Linked DNA regions of Anolis sagrei. The protein of the gene in region 2 purifies or fractionates together with the protein of the main gene of each other region. This does not show direct contact. Links are inferred from orthologs where the notes say so. Each region holds a gene or a part of one and is shown on either strand. Other genes may lie near its edges.

Region 1 (3,824 bases), about 130 Mb from region 2:
AAACAACTTGAGGAGCAGGAATGTAGTTAGACAATTTTCAGCAAGGGAGTCAACACAAAAAAATACCCTTCGGGCTTGGGAAGGGTGGTATACAAATATCACAAATAAGTAAGTAATAAGTAATAATTTAAAAGGTGGGTCTAAAACAGGGTTTCTCAACCTGGGGGGTTGGGACTCCTGGGGGGGGGGGTTGCCAAATACCATCAGAAAACACAGTATTTTCTGTTAGTCATGTGAGTTCTGTGTAGGAAGTTTGGCCCAATTCTATCGTTGTTGGGGTTCAGAATGCTCTTTGATTGTAGGTGAACTATAAACCCTAGCAACTACAAGTCCCAAATGTCAAGATCTATTTTCCCCAATCTCCACATTTGGGCATATTGAGTATTTGTGCCAAGTTTGGACCAGAACCATAATTGTTTGAGTCCACAGTACTCTCTGGATGTAGGTGAACTACAACTCCAAAATTCAAGGTCAATGCCCACCAGACCCTTCCAGTATTTTCTGTTGGTCATGGGAGTTCTGTGTGTCAGCCTGGTTCAATTCCATCATTGGTGGAGTTGAGAATGTTCTTTCAATGTAGGTTTACTAACAACTACAACTCCCAAATGACAAAATCAATCCCACTCAACCTCACCAATATTCAAATTTGGGCGTATCGAGTATCTGTGTCAAATTTCATGCAGTGAATGAAAATATATCCTGCATATCAGATATTTACATTACGATTCATAATAGTGGCAAAATTACACTTATGAAGTAGCAACATAATAATTTTATGGTTGGGGGCAGAGGCAGCCCTAGGTAATTTTCAATGGTAAGCAAACAGTATTTTGGCGTTCCCCTCCCCCCCCTCCCCTCAACCAATCACTGATATATATTTTCTGTTCGTCGTGGGAGTTCTGTGTGCCATATTTGATTCAATTCCATCATTGGTGGAGTTCAGAATGCTCTTTGATTGTAGGTGAACTATACATCCCAGTAACTACAACTCACATATGTCAAGGTCTATTTTCCCCCAAGAGTGCCCCTGGGCAAAATCAACTATACTGCAACTGCTTACTTTGCATAATGGGTTGAGCCGCCCCAGGTTGGGGGTCACCACAACGTGAGGAACTGCATTAAGGGGGCACGGCTTTAGGAAGGTTGAGGAACAGAGGTCTAAAGGGTTAGGAGCCACAGCGGTTAGTAGTAGTTTGAGCACTGGACGACCACTCTGCTGACCAAGGTTCAAATGCATGTTGCAAGATCTTGGGCAAATCATACTTTCTTAGCCTCTGAAGAAATGCCAAATCTCCTCTTAAGCAGCTGAGGGGGGAAATGAAAGGGCCTGGGGCTGTTAGGAATGGTGGGAGTTGAAGTCCAAAACACCTGGAGGGAGGGCCCAAGTTTGCCCATGACTGATCTAGATGCAGCCTTGTTGTTATTTTGTCGTTTGGGGCGTGCCAGTGGTGGTTAACTGCCAAACTGCATCCAGGATTTCAAGAGGAGGGTGTGGGAAGATTCCTAGAGTGCTGTCATTGTTTGCTTCAAACCCTTGCCTGGCCTCCTGAGCAGATAAAAGAGAAAGGAAACCTTCCTAGGGGGGGGAAATAAGAGTCTTGACTCTCCTGCTGCTGAATCATGCCAAGGAGGGTCAGCAGAAAGAAGCAGGGCGCACAAGAGAGGCAGGCAGGCAGGCAGCAGACCTTGGAGAGCCAACTCAAAGACACGCGTTACGCACGTCACACACACACCTTGCTCCCTTCTCCCGGCCTATTGTTTGGCGGCCCCCTTTCCCCCAAGGTCTCACCTCCAAGGTTTTCACCAAGACTTTGAGGTACAGCTCGGAGATGCCCAAGGAGACGCCGAAGATGGAAGGCAGCACGATGAGGAGGAAAGCCAAGGCGAACCAGGCGCTGAGCAGCTCCAAGGCGATGGCCAAGACCTTCTCCATCCTGGAGAAAGGCTGGAACCGCCCCCTTCCCCCAAATAAAAGGGGTCGCTGAAGACCAAGGGCCGAGCCCCTTCTCCCCCCTCCCTCCCTAACCCCTCCCCTTGAGCCTTGGCAGGAGAAAAGCAAGAGGAAAGTCCCCTTTGGTTCCCAAACGCGCTGGAAAGGGACTGGACCCGAAGAGCCCCTCCTGCGCCAAAGCTCACTCTTCCTTTCTTCCTTCCTCCCTTTCTTTCCTCCTTCCTCGCCCTGGCTTTCTGTCGCTCCACCCCTTTAACTCCTTCTCCTCTCCCCTTCGGAGCAAATCCGATCCTGTGGCGGCTTTTCCCCGCCTCCGGGATCCTTTTCTGATCCCTAAAAGAGGCGACGTCTCCTCTCCTCCTTCCTTGCCTTATCTCTGCGCCTTTGGGTGCGCCTTCGAAGCTGAGCCATACAGGGGGGTTCCCACTAATGCCGTATATAGAGAGAGAGAGGGAGGCACATATACATTCGAGCTTCCTTTGCCATTCTTCGCTCAGGGCTGCATTGTGATCTCAAGATGACCTGTCATTCGCTTCGAACGGATACAGGGGGAAAGAATCCATGGTGCTCCAGTCTATTTGCTGCCTGCCTGCAGAAAAAAGCATTATACAGGGTGCAGCTCCATTGTTGTAAATGCAGTTCAGCATCAATTTTACTGGCATTTCTCAATGCTACAGAAGAATGGGAGTTGTAGTTTGGTGAAGCCCCAGCATTTTTTACTAGAGGGTGCATCTACATCCGACAAGGGCAAATTTCGACCCTCCAGGTGTTTTGGACTTCAACTCCCACCATTCCTAACAGCCTCAGGCCCTTTCCTTTTCCCCCTCAGCCACTTAAGCACAGCTCTGTGTTTTAGATGGATTAAGAATCTGCTGATTTTCCCTGTAATGTTTTGTTATTGAACTTTTAATGTTATTGAAAATTGTTGTTGTTCATTCGTTCAGTCGTCTCCGACTCTTCGTGACCTCATGGACCAGCCCACGCCAGAGCTCCCTGTCGGCCGTCACCACCCCCAGCTCCTTCAAGGTCAGTCCAGTCACTTCAAGGATGCCATCCATTCATCTTGCCCTTGGTTGGCCCCTCTTCCTTTTGCCTTCCACTTTCCCCAGCATAATTGTCTTCTCTAGGCTTTGCTGTCTCCTCATGATGGAGTATTATTACTATTATTATTATTAACTTTATTTGTACCCCGCTAGTATCTCCCGAAGGACTCGATGCAGCTTACATAGGCCAAGGCCTCAATAAAACAACAGCATAACAAAACACATAACTTAAAGCAAATCAAACAATAAAACAATAGCAGTAAACAATAAAAACAATACACCACGACACAATAAAACTAGGGCTGGGCTAAATGTGATGGGTACATATTAAAATGTGCTGGGTGTGATAGGTGGTATGTCAGAATTTAGGGTAAGTGCAGTGTGCAGATAATCTTAAAACTCTGATAAAGTGCTTCTGGGGCATATTACTGGAGTTCCTATTCTGGAAAGACACATCGGAACAGCCAGGTCTTCAAGCTCTAAAGACTGCCAACGTAGGGGGAGGGTGTTCCAAAGTCAGGGGGCTACCACAGAAAAGGCCCTGTCCCGCGTTCCCACCAAACGCGCCTGCGACGCAGGTGGAATCGCGAGCAGAGTCTCTCCAGATGAGCGAAGAGAATGCGTGGGTTCATAGACGGAGATGCGGTCACGCAGGTAGGCTGGTCCCAAACCATTTAGGGCTTTGTAGGTAAGCACCTGCACCTTGAATTGGGTTCAGAAAATAAACAGCAGCCAATGGAGCTCCTTGAACAGGAGGGTTGACCTCTCTCTGTAAGGAGCACCAGTTAATATCCTGACAGCCACCCGTTGGACCAGTTGAAATTTCCGAG
Region 2 (3,600 bases):
TCCTTTCAATGGGGATCAGTCTCGACTACATAAACCAAAATAACAAACTGCTCCGGTTTCATGTCAGACCACACCTGGAATATTGTGTCCAATTCTGGGAACTGCAAATTTAAGGGAGATGTTGACAGGCTGGAATGTGTCCAGAGAAGGGTGACTATAATGATCAAGGTTCTGGAGAACAAGCCCTATGAGGAGCGGCTTAAAGAGATGGGCCTGTTTAGCCTTCAGAAGAGAAGGCTGAGAGGAGACATGATGAGGGCCATGTATCAATATGTGAGGGGAAGTCATAGGAAGGAGGGAGAAAGCTTGTTTTCTGCCACCCTGGAGACCAGGACGCAGAACAATGGCTTCAAACTACAGGAAAGATTCCACCTGAACATTAGGAAGAACTTCCTAACTCTGAGAGCTGTTCAACAGTGGAACTCCCCACCCCGGAGTGTGGTGGAGGCTCCATCTTGGGAGGAATTTAAACAGACTGGAAGGCCATCTGTCAAGGATGCTTTGAAGGCAGTTTTCTTGGTACTTGGCAGAATGGGGTTGGACTGGATGGTCCATGAGGTCTCTTCCAACTCTGTGATTCTAGCCAAACAGGAGAAGCAAGGAGACAATCACAATACACGTGTGGAGGGAGAGGAAAATGTGCATCTACAGGGCAGAATTAATGTATAAGAATGTCTATTTTTGTTATATCAGGAGTGACTTGAGAAACTGCAAGTCGCTACTGGTATCAGAGAATTGGCTGTCTGCAAGTACATTGCCCAGGGAATGCTCGGATGTTTGGTGTTTTACCATCCTTATAGAGGGCTTCTCACATGTCCCCACATGGGGAGCTGGAGCTGACAGAGGGAGCTCAACCCACTCTCCCTGGATTTGCACCACTGACCTATTGGTCAGCAGTCCTGCTGCCACAAGGGTTTAACCCATTGCGCCACCAAGGGTCCCTTGTACAATGAGTAACTGGTTTATCAGAAAACCAGAAATGCACTGGGCCCTCACCAAACTCCAACTCCCAGGTTTCCATAGCACTGAGCCATGGGAAGTGGTGTCCAACTGCATTCATTCTACCCTGTAGAAGGCCTGGATCTTCTAGAGCAGTGTTTCTTAACCTGTGGGTCCCCAGATGTTTTGGCTTTCAACTCCCAGAAATCCTAACAGCTGGTAAACTAGTTGGGATTTCTGGGAGCTGTAGGCCAAAACACCTGGGGACCCACAGGTTGAGAACCACTGGTCTAAAGTAGGCTCACGTGCTGAATGGGATTTTCCCCAGGGGTTGGCTCCTCAACTACTGGGAACGTGGGTTGTGATGGGACTGAGGCCTCTGCAATGCTCTGCTTCTGATGCAATACAAAAAGGGGAACCAACATGCCCACCAAGCATTCGGGTGTCAAATGCTGACGTTCTTGGTCTCCTTTGCTACATACGCAAACATGCCACGAAAAAAAAAGAAGAAAGGAGCAACATTGGAGAAAGATTCCACCCTCCCCTCAGAATACAAGCCGCTGAGGAAGAGATCTCGCTTTCCTGGAAAGAGCTGGAGGGATCTCCCAAGGCCGATCCGACAAGCCTGCCCATGCGTGGGGTAGGGGGACCCGCCACAGAGCATCTCCAGCTCGACTGCCCCCAAATCCTACTAACCCACATGTTTCTGATTTCCTCCCTCCACCTTCCTCTTCCCCTCCCTGAAACCTTCCTTGCCTGGAATGCCTCCATCCTGCTGTGTCAGGGGAGGCATCCCAATGGGAAGGATGCTCTCTGCATCCTCAGGCGGCCACGTTCTCTGGACCACGAGAGGAGAAGGCCACATTCTTTGGACCAGCGAGGAGGAGGAAGCAACAGCACTGCGCCTCTCTCACCTTCTGCGCTGATGAAGACCCCACATCCCTCTCCTCAAATAACTTATCCCTCCAGTCCTATTTACCTCCCCCCCCCCCCCCACCAATTGCCCTTTCTATGCCATGTCTGCTAAGTAGGGTGGCACTGCTTGCCTGTCATAGCCATATAGGATCATTCGGCCTTCCTTGCCTCCCATATTTGGCTGCCTATCCAACCCAGGCCTTGTTCCCAACCAACCCACTTGTCAATTCCATCCACGCCGCGGGCGCGCGGGCCCCTCCTTCCGCGGACAAGCGGGTGGCAATCCTTGCCCACCTTTTCCACGAAGGAAGGCACCCCCCCCCCCTCCAAGTCTTGGGATAGACCCCTTTCGTGGGATGGAGGGGCCTTTCCTTGGAGAGCGCGTGGTCCAGGCGACCACGAGGCTGCCTCGCCTCCGATGTGTCCAAGCAGGCACCCCACCCATCACACACATACTCATATATAAATGCAAACTCGCAAGCTTCCCCCTTTCGATGATCCTCTACCTTTTCCCTCTCCCCGGGAGGTCAGGAGCTAGAAGCCCCCCTAACCCGCACCCCGCCAGCCTTACCTTCTGTCCAAAGGCGCCCAGCGTGGCTTGGGCGACTCGCTCTTCTCTCCCGCAGTCCCCGCAATGTGGCCAGCTGAAAGATCAATGGCTTTGTGGGGAGGGAGAGGGGGCAGCGGTTTTCGCGCGCGTGTGTGTTTGTGTGTCTATGTACTGCTCTGGGAGGTGGCGAGGACAGAGACGTACATGTGCGCGGCGCTTCCGATGCAGGGGCGTTTAAAGACGGAGAGAAAGGCGGGAGGGAGCGAGGGAGGGAGGCAGGGAGGGAGGGGGAAAGGCAGGGCGGAGGGAGCCGCACCTCCCTTGACGCAGAGCAGCCTGCAACGCCGGCCTCTCCATCCATCCTCCATCCTCCTCCTCTAGGCAAGACCAAGAGGATAAGGGGCTCCCCCTCCCCACCCTTGGAAGAGAGGCGCGCTAGGCGAACCAAGGCTTTCCGCCGAGAACAAAGCGAGCCCTCCCCTCCACGCATCTTGGCGCCCACAGCCCTGGTCCCAAGGCCCCCTTTCCCGTCCCCAGCCTAACCCCACCCTGTGGCTTTCTAGGGGAGACTGCGGCACGGTGTACTTGCCCTGGGGGGAGAAGATGCTGTGGCCAAAGGACCCAAGCTGCTGTCTCCCCCCTCCCGCCGCCCTTTTCTGGTTTTGGAAATGGAGAGGTTAGGCGCACCAGGAGGAGATGTACCCGCCTGGCACACACCTATAGGAGGGTAGGGCAGTTCCTGGACAGCCAGAGTTGTGCCATGCGGAAAGAGGACTCAGCTTCTTTCTAGCACTCTCAGTTGCTCTCTCTCTAGGTTTTTGGGAATGGAAAGGTTGGGCATGCTAAGAGAAGACCTCCAGCTTGTCATTAGAAGAAGAGTGGGTCGTTCTGGAGCAGCTCGCTATGGGGTGGAGAGGAATAGAAAGGGCAAGAAAGTGAGTAAGGGCCTTCTCAGTGGTGGCTCCTTGGCTCTGGAACTCTGTCCCTACTGGCTCGCAGAAAGAAAACAAAGACATGGTTTAATCTATTGTCTTTCATGGCCAGAATCACTGGATTGTTGTGATGTTTCCAGGCTGTATGACAGGGCCTTCTCAGTGGTGGTCCCTCGGTTGTGGAACTCCCTCCCTAGTGATATCAGAGCAACCCCCTCCCTCATAGTGTTTAGTAAGAGTCAAAACTTGGCTCTGGGCTCTGGG

The links. Proteins that work in one complex are often made in the same cells at the same time.
Region 1: the proteins of SLC6A15 (region 2) and GPAT3 purify together in Homo sapiens (co-immunoprecipitation; 3 studies listed by BioGRID and IntAct, counting the BioPlex papers as one, with this or other methods). This does not show direct contact. The link is inferred for Anolis sagrei from reciprocal best matches to the Homo sapiens genes SLC6A15 and GPAT3.

What each region holds. Positions count from the first base shown.
Region 1 is NC_090025.1:17,672,850-17,676,673, reverse strand, and holds the start of GPAT3 (glycerol-3-phosphate acyltransferase 3), read right to left. Parts: upstream 2,325-3,824; 5' UTR 1,934-2,324; coding exon 1,790-1,933; intron 1-1,789. UniProt on the Homo sapiens protein: Converts glycerol-3-phosphate to 1-acyl-sn-glycerol-3-phosphate (lysophosphatidic acid or LPA) by incorporating an acyl moiety at the sn-1 position of the glycerol backbone.
Region 2 is NC_090025.1:150,856,950-150,860,549, forward strand, and holds the start of SLC6A15 (sodium-dependent neutral amino acid transporter B(0)AT2), read right to left. Parts: upstream 2,739-3,600; 5' UTR 2,426-2,738; intron 1-2,425.